Linked DNA regions of Rhinolophus ferrumequinum. The protein of the gene in region 1 interacts with the protein of each later gene in a pairwise test. Links are inferred from orthologs where the notes say so. Each region holds a gene or a part of one and is shown on either strand. Other genes may lie near its edges. The genes, in order: ZC3H12A and AHSP.

Region 1 (3,913 bases):
TCAGCACAATTAGAAAGGCTCTTTAGGATGAGGGGAGGAGGATGCAGGGGAGGAGGCACACAGAGGGTCTGTTTTTTAAGTTCGGTGATAGATACATGGATGTTTTATTATTATTATTATCTGTTAAGCTGCCCATGAATAGACTATACGGTGTCTTTTACAATAAACAATTCTTAGGTACAACACTAATACCAACCTTACAAGATACTACCTATGATAAGGCGGAGAAAATGTAAGTAAAGTATTGGCTCACACAGGATACACTTGGTATTGAGTGCTTTGGCTCCCTGGGCCTCAGTTTTCCCATTTGCAAAGTGAGCTGGTAGCACTGCCAAAAACTGGTCGTTTAGCTTGTGGGTTCTCTGTTCCGTTTGTACACACACACACTTGAGCGCAGGTCCCAGGCCTCACCCTTCCACCAGAAGAGTCTCCCCTCTTCCCTAGGTCACTGGTGGTTTCAAAGTGGTAAAGGTGGCTGGCAGCTGATGCCCTGGAATGGGAGCTCTTGGTCCTGGTTCCAAGTCTTTCCAGCTGGGGCAATTAGCCTTTTCTGAATTTCTCAAGGGTAAAATGGGCATAATAACCTCTGTCTTCTTCCTCACCTAAGCCCACGGGTACATATTGTAAAGTGCTGTGCTCAGTGTGGGATCATGACTGGTTGACCTGGGAACCTAAAAGCATTCTTGTGGAGGGGTGGGTGGCCTCTGTGAGTTTCAGAGCTGTGTAAGACAGCATGCTGTGAAAACTCACATGGCGACTGGTGTAAACGCACGTTCTTTGCCTGGTTTTCCGCCTCCTAATTGTGTATCTGCTAGTTCTACGTACCTATCTTTCTATCCTGGTAAGGTCCTCATTTCAGAAAACTCCTGGCCCTGAGTGCAGCTCAGGGAATCTGTGTACCTGCTGTATGTAGTCACGGTGTACCTGTTGAGTGTTCCTGTCTCGATCTGAAAAGTGCCTGTCTGAGCGTACCTGTCTTTATGACTAAGAACCTACCTCCAACGGTGAGTAGACCATCCTGTGTACCTGATTCACTCAATGCGTCTCTGACTGTACCTTAGTCAGTCGTGGAGTACTTGTCAAGTATCTGAACGTACGTGGCTGTACCTGTCCTTGCATCTATGTACGCATCTCAGTCAGTCGTGTCTGGTTCAGCCTGTGCTTACCTTCCGCATGCGGGCCGTGCACTCCCGCCCTCCTCATCTCCTCTCCGCCAGGGCCTGGAGACCTACGGAAGGGGCTGCCTCCCCTGGTCCCCCGCCCCTATTCCCGGCGGGGCCCTGAACGCACAGCTGCGCGGGGGCGGGGCAGGGGCGGGGCAAGGCCGAAGGCGGGGCGGTGGGGCGGAGCAGGAAGGGGCGGTGGCCGCCCCGCCCCCTGGGTCGACTTGCTCCTCCCCTGCCCGGCTTCCGCGTCAAGGTCCTTAACGCAAGCTCTCCGCCCACCGCCCCGTATAAAGGCGCCGCGGGCCTTGCTCCTGGGACTCGGCCCCATGGAGACGCCACCTGCTGCGGCCGGCGCACGGCGGGGTGAGTTGCGCGCGGTGGTGGGGCAGGGGCGAGGGCCTCAGACTGGGCAGAGGAGGGGGCGGGGAGGGCTGCGGCTGGATACACCAGACGAGGAGGGACGTAGGGCCGATCCTCTCCGGCCTTGCCTATCCTCAGACCCCTTCCAACTTAGCCCAAGTTGAAGGAACCTAGGGGAAGGGGTACCAAGCTCCGGAGCTCGGAGCTGGGACAGCCTCCGCGTCACCGAGGTAGGCGGCCAACCAGAGTTTCCCAGCAACTTTTCTCGCCTGTGGGTCTCCCCGGAAAGTTCTCCTCCCCCGGTCCAGGAATCTGGCCACCGGCCCTGCGCCTCCTGGGCCTGGCTCCGTGAGCAGGGCGGGCAGGCAGAGGCGATGGCCTCAGTGGGGAAGCCCCCGCCCCCCACACACACAGACGCAACGCACTTCCAGCCCGGGGTTTCCATCCGAGCGCCCCGCCCCGCAGCTGTGGGAGTGCGGCGAGGTTCTCTGAGACCTCCCGAGATTTGTGGGTCCCCAGAGTTGTTGTGGGACTGCGCTTGGGATAGAGATGGAGTCAGACTTCCTAAGTTCAAATCCTTTCGTCACCAGCCAACAGCCGGATGACCTTGAGCAAGTTCTTAATGGCTGTGGCTCAGTTTCATCCTTTGTACCATGCAAACGATGATCCCTAGCTGGGAGCACTTTTGAGAGGACTAACAGAGGTAACACAGGAAGATGGATTTGCACAGTGTCACCAGTGTTGCCTCATCCTGTTGGGTGGGGCGGATGGGAGAGAGCCATTCCCCATCCCTAATCCTCGTGGTTCTTCTACAAGGAGCTGTGACAGGTGCCTTCCACCAGTCTGAGTTGTGAGTGGCCGGTGGAGAGAGGCCCACCCAGGAAGCCAGCCCCGCCATGAGTCTGTGGGAACTTGAAGACAGTCACAGCTACCAAGGTACCCCCAGGTCGGCCCAGGAGCCCCCTGCTGAGGAAGCAGCCACTACCGAGCTGCAGATGAAGGTGGACTTCTTCAGGAAGCTGGGCTACTCATCTGCTGAGATCCACAGCGTCCTGCAGAAGCTGGGGGTCCAGGCGGACACCAACACAGTGCTGGGCGAGCTGTTGAAACATGGGTCAGCAGCTGAGCGGGAGCGCCAGGCCTCACCAGACCCCTGCCCTCAGCCCCCTCTGGTCCCCCGAGGTGGGGGCACCCCTAAGGCTCCCATCCTGGAACCCTCAACCCCAAAGGAGGACAAGGAGAGCAGTGACCTAAGGCCGGTGGTCATCGACGGGAGCAACGTGGCCATGAGGTACGTGTCACTTCTGTGGCCAAGATGTGGCCAGGAATGGTGGGTCTCTGCACCTCGGGTAGAGGGGCCTTCGGAAAGGAGTTGACCTCTTCTCACACACTAGTCTAGAGGAAGGAAAAGCTCCTTATTGAGGCCCTACTGCGTGCCAGCAGGCTCCTGTCATCCTTGGAAGTGGGTTGGCTAGGAATGTTTTAGGGATGAGAACGGGGGCTCAAAGACTTGCTCAGGGTCACACTCCTGGGGAGCGGTTGAGCAAGGATTGCAACTCGGGTCCTCTGTCTCCAGAGCTCCCCTTATGCCCTTTGTCTCTCCCCAAGGGCAAGCACTCTCTGTTCTTTCCTGTGACATGAAGCAGTACAGTGGAAGGGATCAGACTGGGCTCCCGCTCACTCCTAGAGGAGCCAGGAGTCACCTCCTCTCTGAGCCTGCGTTCCTCCTCCATCTGTTAAGACAGGGCTAACCCAGCCCCCGGTTGTGAGGAGTGAATGCAGTGCCTGCAGAGGAACTGCTCAGGAAACAGTAATAGTAGTTGTGAGTACAGTTATTCAGGGGCTGGGGCTTCTGAGGCCTATCTCAGACTTGGGCTCGCATGGAAGCAGGCCCAGCTATGGAGGCCTTCGTAGTTGTGACCAAGCGTGACCTCGAGGACCTGGCTCTGTGTGGGAGATATAAACGGGTGGCCTAATGCTTTGGTGTCAGGTGAACTGTGACTTGGGTCCATTCTGATTTGGCTAGAGCCACCTGGGCTGGACTGGGCTCTGGGAGCTCCCTAGGGCCAGAGCCAGGACCCAATCCCAGTACTCCTCCCCCCATGCTTTAACAGAATGGGGTGGGATGGGGACAGGGTTGCTCCTGACCCCAGACAGCCCAGACCCCTGTTCAGTCCAGGCTCTGCCCTCCAGCCTTCTTTCTCTCAGTCCCTCTAAGGTGGGCTGGTGAGTCAGGCCTGGCATATCATTCACAAGGAAAAGTTCCTGTGGGCATGGACAGAGAGACTCCAGGCACAGAGAGTGGAGTGCTCCTTCACTTTCTGCTCTCCCGGATCTGCCTGGTGGGCTGCTTGAGGCCCCGAGGCCCTTGGCCCCCTCCACCCCTC
Region 2 (2,479 bases), on another chromosome or scaffold:
CCTCCTGGGAAGGGGCGGAGGGGCGCGCGGGGTGGGGCACAGCCGGCCTGGGTCGTGGGCGTGGGGTCAGCCCCCACCTACGCGGGCGGCGCGGGCGGCAGCCGGACCGCTGCGCAGAGGAGGCGGCGATCGGCTTCCGACCGCGGGTCCCAGGCAGCCCGACAGCAGCCCGGGCCCCGCACTCGCAGCCGGCGTGAAAGTTCCCCGCGCGCTCGCTGCCAACATCCACCGGTAGCTGCAGCCACCCGCAGCCGCAGGACCGCAGGCGCGGGGCGGAGGAGGCCAGGCGCCCGGCGGACGCAGAGGACGGAGAGGCGGGGAGGGCAGCGACCGGGGCGCCCCAGCCTGCGGTGACCCGCGCTTGTCGGCCCTGCGGCCGCTGCTGTTCCAGGCTCGCAACGAAGCAGTGACACCCGTAGGCCGCGGCAGAGAAGCCCCGGGCCCAGAGAGCCCGAGCACCCCCACCCAGGGAGTCCTCCTGGGGCGCCCGGGTCCCACCGGTCAGCCCCGCGATGCAAGGGGCCACCTTGCCCTCTCTCTGCGCCCTGGTTAGGAAGGGGCACAGGGCTGAGATGGAGACTCCAGAGGCCAGAGCCGCTTTTACAGGCGGTCTGAAGGAAAAGGGACCAAGTCAGGGACAGACAATCAAAGAGCCAGGAAGACCAGCAATACCAGTGTGGGCCTTTATTGGGGTGTCGAGGTGGATAACACCAAGAAGGCGCAGAGCCTGAGGACTTGAAGGGTTCAGAGGCAGGATTTCAGGGTTTCTCGCAGACGCAGGCCTAGCTCTCTGGGCCAGGAGAAAAGCTTGGCGCTTACAGAGACTTCAGGAAGGCCTTATACTTGTCCAGGAAAGGGGCGCACAACGTTCTCAGCTGTTGCCGCAGCTCCTGCACAGCCCTGTCCCGCTCCTGCTCTTCTCCCACCACATGTTGCCTGTAATAGTTGACATAGAAGTTCACCCAGTCGTCCAGTACAGTCACCATGGCTTCTTCAGTGATTGGAGGGTCAGTGAAGACCTGGGGGGTGGGGAGGGTGGATAGTGTGGTCAGCAGTGTCATTCAGGAATAACCCACAAACCCGGACACCCTCTTCTCTCTGTATTCCCTGTCTCTAGTTGTTTCTATCAATTCCACCATTACTCTCTCTGCTCCGAATTATCCTCCCTTCTCTGCCCTCACCCACCACCATCTACCACCCCAGGCCTGTCCTTTGGAATAGAATGCCTGGCTTACCTGCTGATTCAGCAAAACATTAAATTCCTTCATTCCTGTGGAAATGAGATCTTTATTAGCCTGAAGAAGCGCCATCTGCCTGTGCAGAGAAAAACAATTTAAGTATCCTTTCCCCTCATCCCTGGGTATTTCCCCCAGTTCCCCACTCCCCCTAAAGATTCCTGGTAACCTGCAGGACGACTTCCCTCAGATACCTTTCAAACCCCGCCCTGATTTGAAACCACCTTCTACCAGGTTGGCTCACCTTCAGGTCGCAAGGTGCTTTCACCCACACTTTTCAGGATATGTATGTCCTTCTGTGCCAAGCTAGATGTAGGTGAGGAGTAAAGTGTCAGCCTCAGAGGGAAACGCCCTGCATCAGGGTCTGAAGGCGGGTGATAGGTCAAGCATGGGAGGGGAAAGGAGGGAGAGGCTTCCCTGAAGTTAGAAAGATAGCAAGGCTGGGAAACAACAGATAAGTGGCGAGACGCGGAGAACCAGACCAGGGACAGACCCTTGCCCTCTGCCCCGCACCCCACCATCCAGGCACCAAACGCTAACAAAACAAACATTACCTGACCCCATTTCATGACAGGCACTTTTAAATCATCACTACATTGTGATGGCAATTATTGTCCCAACACCTAGGTGATATATTAATAACAGTTTACATTATCTTTATCATTTATGCCAGGCACTGTTTCAAGCATCTGTTAAAGTATTTATCCTTATAAAATACCCTATTACGCAAGCAGTCACATTTTGCAAACGAGCCATCTGTAAGACATGAGGACTGAACTCCACCAGGCTGTGCTTTGCAAGGAGACATATTTACCTTGTTCTCTAATATATCATCAGGTATTCGACAAAACAGAAACATCTTTTTAAGTAGTTCCCTACTGTTTTCCAAATTTCAGAATTATCATGTACTGAGATACATGAAACAATACAAAAAAGGTGTATTTTATACTCAGAAAAGGTGATCATCTTTGCTCCCTCCCCCTACAAAGTAACCAGCATTAAAGATTTATTTCCTGTCACATCTTTCAGCACTCAAAAACCAACATTCATAGGCACCTATTAGACGTTTGTTGATTTGCTTTTTTGTTTATAGCATTTTCTTAGTTAACATATAGCAAAATTGATCTCTGTTTGGTGTGCAATTTATGAATTTTAATTCATAGATTCGTGTAACTACTACCACAGTCAGCATATAGAACATTTCCGTCGCCCCCAAAACTCCTTCATGTTCTCCCCTTGTAGTC

The links.
Region 2: the proteins of ZC3H12A (region 1) and AHSP interact in binary tests that used the Homo sapiens proteins (3 or more experiments, as listed by UniProt). The two-hybrid records come from large-scale screens. The link is inferred for Rhinolophus ferrumequinum from reciprocal best matches to the Homo sapiens genes ZC3H12A and AHSP.

Annotation. Positions count from the first base shown.
Region 1 is NC_046292.1:26,175,400-26,179,312, forward strand, and holds the start of ZC3H12A (endoribonuclease ZC3H12A), read left to right. Parts: upstream 1-1,404; 5' UTR 1,405-1,529; intron 1,530-2,342; 5' UTR 2,343-2,422; coding exon 2,423-2,817; intron 2,818-3,913. UniProt on the Homo sapiens protein: Endoribonuclease involved in various biological functions such as cellular inflammatory response and immune homeostasis, glial differentiation of neuroprogenitor cells, cell death of cardiomyocytes, adipogenesis and angiogenesis.
Region 2 is NW_022680357.1:35,681-38,159, forward strand, and holds AHSP (alpha-hemoglobin-stabilizing protein), read right to left. Parts: upstream 1,595-2,479; 5' UTR 1,480-1,594; intron 1,315-1,479; 5' UTR 1,311-1,314; coding exon 1,236-1,310; intron 1,020-1,235; coding exon 816-1,019; 3' UTR 670-815; downstream 1-669. UniProt on the Homo sapiens protein: Acts as a chaperone to prevent the harmful aggregation of alpha-hemoglobin during normal erythroid cell development. Specifically protects free alpha-hemoglobin from precipitation.